Linked DNA regions of Caenorhabditis elegans. The protein of the gene in region 2 purifies or fractionates together with the protein of the main gene of each other region. This does not show direct contact. Each region holds a gene or a part of one and is shown on either strand. Other genes may lie near its edges. The genes, in order: mam-3 and R09E10.1.

Region 1 (5,130 bases), 3.1 Mb from region 2:
ATTATGAAGAGTGAGGCATTGGATTTTTCTGGATGTTCAGTGAAAGTTTAAAACTTCTCTAACAAATCTAGTTTTATTTTGAAAAATTTACAGAACAAAATCTTTTAAAAAAGGATTAAAAATATCGTTTTTTTTGCGCGCCAATTTGATTTTGACTGCTTCATATCTCGAATAACTTTAAAACTTACGTGATTGCTGGCAAATCTTTCCGTGATATCTGATATGATCAATGATTGCCAAACTTCCAACAGTATTATCTTTGAGATCAAATGCTCGAATTCCAATTCTGAACGGTTCCTTAATCGGCGGAATCTCGACACGACATTCCTCATTGGCGGCTCCCAAGAAATCACACTTCATTTTTGGTCTGAGCAAGACTTGAAGATGACGTCTACGATTCATTGCTCGAAGGATGATAACTTCCACTTGAGCATTGTTGTATAGCCAGAAGCTAGAAGGATATAACTGGGATTATAATTTTATTTTGGAATCTATGTTAGTTAGAGCACAGTATTTTGCCGATCGCATACTTTGTGAGCTTTTACTCAGGCAACTCAAATCTAATATGAAAATATTAAATAGCAATATTTTTGTAGTAAAAACGAGAAATTGTGCGTCATATAAAGATTACTAAAAATTTCGATTTTTTTTTTTTATATCAGCATTTTTCAAACTATTGAATCATAGAAGAACGCTTAGTTCGTTTTTTACATATTAAAAAAAATGCAAAGACAGTAGAGATCTAAGCTTTCAAAGAAGAGCAAACACATTTTATTTCAAAAAAAATTTAGGCCCTCCAACTTTGTGCTTAAAATTCTTAAAATTATCTTTGACAATACCTGAAAGTCAAGTTGGCAAATCCTTTTTGACAAGCAATTGGAGCACTGCTCAACACTGCTCCATTCGGATTTTTCGTCGTATTTCCAGCAATTATAAAATGTTCGCCTTTTGGAATTACAGGATTTCCGGGCTGGATTTGAACTGGGAAAGTTTTCTCGTCATTTTTCTGAAATTGTTTAATTTTTTAAAAAAGTTTTGAAAAATTGTAAGTATAGAATTTATAGATTTGTCTAACAAAATCGTCAAAAAATTTGGAACGCTTCACGAATTTGCGTGTCATCCTTGCGCAGGGGCCATGCTAATCTTCTCTGTATTGTTCCAATTTTAGTATATGTTCTCGGAAGAACAAACATTTAGATTTACATTTCAATTATATAGGGACCATTAACAATGCAGCTGGCATATTTGGAGTTATGTAAGACACTATACCAAATGTAGATGTAGATCAATAATTTGTGCACCTATTCTATAGCGATACCAATATCGATTTGCATCTCCACTTCCCTAGCATAGTCATAGTGTCTTACATAACTCCAAATATGTCAGCTGCTGTGTAAATGGTCCCTATATAATTGAAATGTAAATCTAACTGTTCGTTCTTCCGAGAACATATACTAAAATTGGAACAATACAGAGAAGATTAGCATGGCCCCTGCGCAAGGATGACACGCAAATTCGTGAAGCGTTCCAAATTTTTTCTATAATTTTTGGTGAACTTTCCAATGGTTCTAAAGTTGAACTGTATAATTGAATTGTCTGAATAAATTCTCGAAATGTTGCCACTTTCAATCGAGTTTTTGAAATGTTTTTTTTTTGAAACTTTCAGTTAAAACTAGTTCATAAAACCAATTAGTTGCCAAAATTAGTTGGTATCTTTTACATATTATTCGTCTCAAAACTGAAAGCTAAATATTGTATATTATACCCTGGCCTACATATAGCGTAGGATATGGAATTTCACATACATTTTTATTTCTAATTGAACAATTATACCACATTCAAAGTTTGTATTCAGCGAAATCTATAACTGAGATCGTGACAAGACCCACTCAGAAAAGGTTTTATATTCCAAAAAAAGAATAGAATGGCACAAGACATTTGAAGGAAAGTTTTTCATGAATAACAAACCTTAAAATACCACCAATCACTGGTATCCAAAAGCTTATCAGTCGGCGCATTTCTCCAAAGACATTCGGTCTCAAAGTCACAGTTGAGTTCATCAGGTGACTCAATATACGTGGCAAATCCAACGGCCTCTGAAATCCACGTGATTGTGGTTTTTTTTTGCAGATCCTCGTGGTTTGATAATTTTAGCTGTTTAAAAACAAAAAAACACTTCACATTAAAATTGCTTATTTATCACTAATTTTTAAGAACGAATCTAAAACCAGATTTTTTATGAAAGTAAAAATCGGCTGATTTATTGTTGTTACATACTTTTGTTACAGAAATTAGCGAAATATTAGCGAAATCTGGATAAAATACCGTAATTTTACTACTACTGTACTACTGTAGATTTTGAAGTACTTCATTAAAAGCTCACGGAATTATTCAGACGGGCCTCGGCGCGCAAAAAAGTTTATGGTAGTTTTATTTGTTCATTGGATGTAGTATTGTATTTTTTTTCAATGAAATCACATGGTTTTCAGCTGTAATAAATCGTTGACAATCAGTTTTCAAAGTTTAAATAAAAATTAAACTACCGCGAACTTTTAATTCCGTGCGCCTTTAATAAGGAACTACAAAATCAAGTAAATTTCCGATAAAGCTTAAATTTTTGGAAAAAAAAATCTCGTCAAAATTCAGAGTAAATCCAAAAAAAACTGGAAAATGTTGAAAAAAACATTTTTAAAAAATCGGGATGTGGCCATAAATTATTGAAAAAAAATTGAATTTTTCCAAAAAATCGAAAATTTAGACTTTTTTCGTTCGGAGCAAAAAACAGTAAATTCCTTCAAAAAACCAAAAAACCAACCTTCCACAGGAATCTCTCCATTATTATCTGGCCTAATACCAAGATACAAGTCTAAATATCGAAGCTCTTTTTGAAATTGAGCATGACATGCTTCTAGAGATGGTAGAAAAATGAGCAAAAGTGCAAATTTCTTCCAGATCATTATTTTCGAGAGGCAAAAAGGGTGTGTACAGGCGAAGAACAATGGCAGATGCGCGGGCCAGGAGAAGCAGGCGAGAGGAACGAACCGGCTTCCGAATCACTATTGATATGGAGAATAGACGGGTTCGTTATATCATTTGATCATTCACCGAATCCCCATTCAACCTGAGAGAGAGAATGATGGATTTCGGAATCAATCAATAATTTATTTGGACCATATTTACTATTAAGTTTTACATAAATAAAATTGAAAGGAAAAAAAAAACATAATTTCGGTATCACAGAAGACAGTGTGGTTTGAACGAAATGGAAAGAGTAGGTAGGGATACAAAAAAAACAGGAAGAAAATATTTTGCCAGCAAAATCACGGCGAATACGATATCGTAGATTTACAAGATCTCTGAGATGTCTTCTTAAAGGCGCACGGTTTTATGGGTCTCGGCGAGCCCAAAAAAATTTTTATGGTATTTAATTTTGTTTATTTTCTTTGCATTTATCACATAAGTTAAAAATTGTTTTAAATCAGTTTGAGAAAAAAAAACAAGAAAGCCGAAACATATCTGAAAAAAACCTGTGCGCCTTTAAGAAGACACTTAAAAAATCCTGCGAAAGTACGGTGTATGCGTTATAAATTAAATATTATACAGGAAACCTATTCGATTTAAAAAAAGAAAAGTTGATTGGAAGTATTACATGTTCTATGACAAGATTGACCCCCCAAAGAAAACAAAAAAGAAACCCGATTTTTAGTAATCCCACAGCCTTATTACTCGTCCTCATCATCTGTCACTGGCTGTTTTAGGTTTCGAAGAAGGCGTCGGTAGGCTGACATTTTATTGTGTTGATCAGCGAGAAGCATCAGAAGTTCTTCTTGTTCTTGTTTCAGTTTTGAAAACTCTTCGGAGTCAGCCTGAAAATTTGAAATGTTTGAATTATTTTCACTGAGATAAAGCTCAAAAGCTACTCATCGAAACGTTTTTATTTTAGTTTTTTTCCAGAGAAAATTGAAAAAAAAATGAAAAAGTGGATGAAAAATCTGTAGCAAAAAATAATTTCTTCAGAAAAAATCGAACCAAAATTTAAAAGTAGTTTTTTGAAAAACGAAATAATTAATTTTTTCATAGAAAAATTATATTTTAAGTGTTTGATATTTTTAGAATTTTTTATTATTTTTTCAGCTTTTTTCAAAAAAAAAATTGAAATTTTATCAAGTTTTGCTCAAATTAACCTCAAATATATAACTATTTTTATATATATATATATTTTTTCCTTCTTAAAAAAAAGAAATCTGTTAAAAAATCAAGGTTTCGAAAAACTGAAATTTTACACATTTTTTCGATTTTTTAATGAAAAAATCGATAATTTTGGTAAGATTTTCCATCTTTTCCAATAAAATTATACTTTTTCAGTGTTTTTTCTAGAAATTCCTGAAATTTCGAAAATTCCACTCGAATTCTACCTGTGGTTCGTGCTCCACAACTATTCCATTCGAAATTGGCTTCAAATTCAATTGCTCAATTTTATAATTGGCTTCAGCGAGAGCAGCTTCCGTTTTCGCGAGTCTATCTTTAAGATTTGCATTCTCTGATGTATAGTGGAGCATCTGAAATATGTAAATTTTATTTTTATGGTTATTTTATTTTTTTTTGGTTATTTTTTTTATTTTAGACCAAACGGAAGCCGAAAAAAAATTTTTCGAATAAATTTAAGCATCGAATTGTTTTTTGGTTTTTTTTGATTTTCGCAGATTTAAATGTTTAGTTTTTTGATCCAATTGTGTCATTTTTCGATTTTTCGATTTTCCGGAAAATCGAAAAAAATTTCCGAAAATTAACCACAAAATATGATTTTACAAAATCAAATTTTTGTTTTATTGATGAGAAAAAAAATAAATATTTTCATCAAAAAAAGAAGAACCCTGACCAAAATTTTAAGCTAATTTTTGAAAAATCGACAAATTTTTTTTTCGAAAAAACGAAAATTTTCGATTTTTCGATTTTCTGATAAAATCTCCTGTCTACCATACCGTTTGTGATTGCTGTTCGAATGCCTGATATCCAAATCCGAGTTGCTGCTCCAACTCGTTGACTTGTTGCTGAAGCTGAGCCAATCCCGTCTCTACACCATTCGGAAGCTGTGCCAACTGATAGGCTTGCCATTGTTGAGCCCATTGC
Region 2 (5,842 bases):
GAGATCACTCGTTTTCTATTTTTTTTTTGCTCTCAACTTATACAACCTCTCGTTGTTTTGTCAATTCAGTATGTGTTTCGTCTGGATCCGAAAAAAAATGAATGTATTATTTGTCATTTCGATCGATATGATGACAAATGCAACAAAAAAATCTTAAAATAAATTGGCTGGAATACAATGTAAAGTTACTACATACCTACTTTTAAATGAAAACGACAGAAAAATAACAAATTAAAAAAATTATCGGTGCAAAATTTTACTGTTTCATGTATATTATAAGAATTTTCAAAATTTAAATAAAAACGGGCTAATTGTGAGTTCAAACGGATCCATTATTTCCACAAAGCATTATTTTGATAGTTATTTTCAATTGTGGATTTTGAGAATAGGATTTAGAAATTGGAAAATCAACAGTTCAGGTACAAAATTGAGGAATTAAAAGAAATTTATGTAAGTACAATGACAAAATCTACACCGTTTTATGAAGAACATGAAACAAGTCATATTTTACTTTAAAACTACTGTGTATTTTTCTTTGTCAGCAGGCACTGAACACGTAATCTATGTCCAGAAAAAATTGAAGGTTTATGAAAAAATTTTACATATGATTCCGGATAACCTAACAATTGCTCACATTATGCAGCACAGGCAAAGCGGAAAGTGCCCAAAACGGTCCGTTCACGGACCGGGAACGGCTCAAATTTAAGAACAGTTCACGGTTCGATTCCCGGTCCGTCAACGGACCGTAATTGAACCGTAAGGAGACTAAAAAATGGGAAAATTTTTTCACCCTCCAGCTGCCCCTTTTTCTTTCCCAATGCTCCACCGAGCTCCGGTCTTGCTCCAGACCGTCTTCCGGTGATCCTTCGTTGTAGCAATTCTATCTGCCTCAGCCGGGGTTGAACTTGTCCACTGCCTGTCGATTGATTACTGGCCCATCACCTTACCGTTTGGCCGTTCGCGCACGCGAGGAAAATCAATAGACTTCGCATAAATAGCAATCAGCTCGCGCTCGCGCATTTTCTTCTGGTTTTCACGTCTTACACCAACTTTTTCGATTGTATTTTCAGTAGTTTCTGATTCTCCATCTTGCCGTTGGACTTATATGAAAGCGAACGATAACAATTGACAGTTTCGTGTAGTTCAGAACTTATTTCGCATATTTCTCAACATCTACCTATACGTGCTCCATCTACTTGTAATACAGAAATGGTACTTACATATTTCCTCTATTAGTCTTGCATGCAAGACTAATTTTCGATTGGACCGGGTTGCAATACTAATAGACGAAATAAGGTATATGCGTTCTACTTGAATGATACCTTAATTTCTTAAAATACACACGGAACAGAAACGATATGATTCCAGAATGTATTGTTAGTAAAATATTTCATGATATTTCAAAAAATGCTCCTGTTGCTCAGCTGAAGAAGACCAGCAGAGAGAGTGAACGTTGCGTATACACAGTATCTACCCAATTGTGGCATTTCATCTTTTTTATTGATATGTTTATAGGATTACATTAATATAACCTCTTTTACACACAATGTCATGCTTAATAGCCTCAGTTAGATCGCATGCGATTACGGGCCGTGTACGGACCAGTTGGACGGATGATAGACAAAATGGTTGCCCAGAGGAATTTTTTTTCATGAAAATGGAGTTTTTGAAGTGCCTACACTCTCCTTTGGCTAATTTGAGCACTTTTTCCATGCTAGAACCTGAAATTTTCAAAAACAAAAATTTGGTGCCCGGGACGGTTCATTTACGGTCCGTCTACGGGCCGGCGACGGACCGTCTACGGACCGGAAACGGCCCAACTACGGCTCAAGAGCCATCTCGGTCGGTAAATGTGGTTTTTTCTCTAAATAATGCATTTAACGACGTAAAAATGCTTGAATTAGCCAACTGGTATCATAGGTATTAAAAAAAATTCGTTTTCTTAAAATCCATTTTTTCCTCTTAATGACCATTTTTTACATTCCCCGTAGTTTGCCCGTAATTGGTCCGTCCCGCTTTTCATATCCGTAGTTCGCCCGTTAATGGTCCGTTCCCGGTCCAAGATCCGTAAACGGACCGTACCCGCTTTGCCTGTGGCAGAGTGAGTGCAAGACTGAAGTGGTAATTATGAAGATTGATATTGAAACTGGAGAGCACACAGGCTTGGAGCCATTTTTGAGAGAATTCTTTGTTGTTGCCAGTTAAGCCCATTTTATTGAAATGTTTTTTTTTAAGTAACTATAAACCTACTTTTAGGCAAAACGACAGAAAAACGAATTTCAAAAAAAACTTCGAATTAAAATTTTACTGTTTCATGTATATTATCAGAGTTTTCAAAATTTGAAATTAAAATTAAAACTGTTCTATCTTCCTTTAAACACGATTTCAATTGAAAAAAGTCAAGCTTGTTCGCCTGCCTCGCGCCTTCGTTCGCGCCTTCGGGTCTATTTTTTACTGAGAAAAAAACAGATTTTACTGAGAAAAAACAGTTATACTTTTCAGTTCATGTCGAAAAAGGGAATGAAGTTTCTTTCTCGTTTAGAGAAGGAGATCGCCGCCAATCGAAGAACTTGAACTTTTTTAGTAATTCTTTTTTTATAAAATGAATGTTTGGTTGGAATAATGAACTCAGAGAATATCAAATTTCAGTTTCATAAATTGAACTTACTACAAATTAATCTTTGGCATTTGAGAGTAATCATCCGCCATTGACTGATTTCTTTGATTCGAATCTTCTATTTCGGTTCTTATACTTTTCAAGAGTTATATTCAAGTACTTTGTTGTCGTTTTGAAAGTCATAGACCACATTTTAACACTAAAACTACAATTATCAAATATACAATCTCGATAATTTTTTTTTGTATTTTTCTAGTCCAAATAGAGCTTTTTACGTAGACAGAAATACAAATAACAATGTGTGGAACTAAAAGCAATGTGGATGCAATACTAATAGGTACATCACCGTAGTTTTCAAACAAGACAGAAATCGCTTTAAAAAATTGGAGGCCGTTATATTTTACATTTATTGTCTATTATCAAAAATCTTTCCAAGAAAAAGACAGAAGAATAAAGCAATGATTTTCAAAAGTAACACCTTTGGGTGTTTACAGCAAAGTGGGCCACCTGGCACTTGACTACATGAAGAAAGTTGTAATTTGATTTGTTTTCTTACATTTCTGAATTACTATTTGCATTAAATAATTCTTGAATAATTTATGAACGTGTTGTTCCGGATAATGATATATATCCTCTTTTACGTTCATAGACGAAATTCAATTTATTGCTAACAAATTAGAAATCGATATTCAGATTTCCTGGAGTCAGGTAAGCTAAACACAGGGTTTTTAAAGGAAAATGGTCATGTTTTCTAGAACACAAATGACAAGTCCTGATGAGCACTCACCGGAGAAGAAAGATTCAGAAAACGAAGTGGTGCCGGCGGGGCCAAAACAAAAGGCAAAGTGTCTTGAGAAGGAAACCAAATCTCCGCCGAAACCATCAGATTTATCGAAAGCTGAAAGAAAGGAAAAGAATAATAAGACTGCAAGAAGAGATGTGAAGAGTTCTCGAGGAAATGTGAAAACCATGAAGCCATCTGTTGTTAAAGTAGAAGAACGATCGTCTCGATCAAAGAAAAGTATTCGCGAAGGAAAGCTGAAAAACTTCTCCCTTCCGTATGTATTTTACTCGACACTTTTAGATGTTTGTTGGAAAGGAAGCCGTCTTTCTGGCATGTGCTAAATTATATAAATATTATGAAATGAATTCCACTGGCACAAGTTTATGACGTGGTAGAAAATTGGGTATCCTTGCAATTTTTTGAATACTCTATCATTCTAGTTCATTAAAACAACTGGATCACTGATTTTTCAATCCATAGTATGGATTGAAAAAAAAAGGATTCCATACATGAGAGTCCACGCGTTGCCAAAATTACAAAATAACAGTAAATTGAATGTTTTATTTTAAAAATGAAATATTTTACGAATTAAAAAATCACGTTTTTAGTTTTGATCTCACTGTATTAGTTTTGGACAAGCAAGGCGGGGTCAGAATTTACTTTAATACAAAAAATTTCAGGAAAGACGAACCCGAGATTACTGCTCTGCAACTTGACGCCGAACTTACAAAGAGTGCTCGTTTGATGGAAGAATACAAGGTTTGAATGCAAATTTACTTTCACTCTATTTTCTAACTTTTGGTTTTTACAACAAAATTATTCCAAAGAAACTCATAAAACCTTGCTAAATTTCAGATTGCCCTTGAGCAAATCATCACAACACTCGTAAGTATGATGAGACGTGGAAACGGGACGGTTGACATGGAAGTAATATACATTCTACTTGAATTATTTCGCTCAACCACACGTATTTTAGAACATTGTAAGCGACAAAGGACAAACGGCAGCGGAGAAGCTGAACAAGGAAGTACAGTTGACTCAAAACTATTGGAAAACGGACACAAAGTTGCAACCAGCAATGAACGATGCAATTGCAAAAAATACTGTCGTTCTGGCAGCAGCTGAGAGAAATTTGCAGACTCAAGGGCCCCAACATCTCAAAAGAGTCAAGAAGTTTCTTTACGGTCAATATCCGAAGGTTTGTTATCAGGAATCAATATTCAAAGCTCTAGTTTCTTCAGAAGTTTTTCATAAATGTAACCATAAAGTTTCACCTTTCAGTATGTGGATATGAAGAGAGACCTGCTGAAAATTGTCAAACAGCAGAAGCCCGAAGCCCAAAGTGTTCGCGATGAAAGTGCTCAAGCGATTTCGAAGTTCATCAAGGAAAAGTATGTGAATGCCAAAATATATGCATCTCGGAGAAATTCAAAGTGCTTTCGGCGAGTTGAGCGTTAGTTTGTTTGATTTTAAATATTATATTTAAACACAAATTATCATTTCAGTTTTTCCATCGTACATCCGCTTTTACTTGGCATCAAATCGCTGAACGACAACCTCCAAAGTCTTCATATCACGCCGAGAACTTCGACTTTCAACAGTTCTTCACAGCACCTCCAAAAATGTAAACTGTGACGTCACCAATAATTTTTTATGATGATTTATGATAATAAAGTGAGAGACGGAGAGAAATTTGTGTGTATTCAGAAGGAAAAAACATAAGTAAATACAGGAAAGAAGAAAAAAAGAATATATATTCGATTTTTTTAACGATATCATTGAATTTCTGATTTTTCAATTTTCAAAGGAACATTGGATAGAACAAACTATATGATATCTGGAAGACCAAAATGTGACATCATATTAAAAGTAATGAAATAGGCGGTAGGCACATAGGCAGGCAGGCGTGCAGTAGGATCACGAAAAAAATACAGAAAATCGGCGACATGCATGAAGGCAGGCATGTTGGCATTCGGCAAGTACGAATGGTAAATAAAATACTGAAAACACGATGTAGGAATGAAAGCCTAAAAGTGCCTGGATATAATTGAAGCCTCTTTGAAGTTCAGTAAATATACGTTACCTGTAGAATTCAACATTTTGGCCAAGAATTAGTTTAAATTAATATTGGATAGGGCTGCTTAGGCAGCAACCTCACAGCCCCGTAGTAGCACAGTATTAATAACATCCCGTGTCAATTTTCATAAAACTGAATATAAATTGGGTTGATGTTGCTAAAGGGCTGCGAAAAACTGAACTGGGATGAAGCTGGGCTGCAAAGGGCTGCGATGGGTTGCGACGGAAAATAGCTACAGTGCTAAAAGGGGGCTGATCCCAGCCCCTCAGGACAAAGCTCATACCCTTCGCCCTTCGCAGTACAGCTTCAGCCCATTTCAGCCCTTTACAGCCCTTTAGCAACATCAACCCAATTTATATTCAGT

The links.
Region 1: the proteins of R09E10.1 (region 2) and mam-3 fractionate together in Caenorhabditis elegans (co-fractionation; one large-scale study listed by BioGRID). This does not show direct contact.

The regions. Positions count from the first base shown.
Region 1 is NC_003282.8:13,442,310-13,447,439, forward strand, and holds the start of mam-3 (MAM domain-containing protein), read right to left. Parts: upstream 3,067-5,130; 5' UTR 2,958-3,066; coding exon 2,816-2,957; intron 2,097-2,815; coding exon 1,969-2,096; intron 1,538-1,968; exon of another isoform or gene 1,436-1,537; intron 1,193-1,435; exon of another isoform or gene 1,075-1,192; intron 1,007-1,074; coding exon 840-1,006; intron 452-839; coding exon 189-451; intron 1-188. Other genes in the region: uso-1 (Uso1_p115_head domain-containing protein), read right to left, coding at 3,723-3,866, 4,416-4,559, 4,983-5,130.
Region 2 is NC_003282.8:10,318,591-10,324,432, reverse strand, and holds R09E10.1 (LEDGF domain-containing protein), read left to right. Parts: upstream 1-1,682; 5' UTR 1,683-3,379; coding exon 3,380-3,675; intron 3,676-4,081; coding exon 4,082-4,160; intron 4,161-4,256; coding exon 4,257-4,328; intron 4,329-4,377; coding exon 4,378-4,599; intron 4,600-4,682; coding exon 4,683-4,854; intron 4,855-4,906; coding exon 4,907-4,950; 3' UTR 4,951-5,094; downstream 5,095-5,842.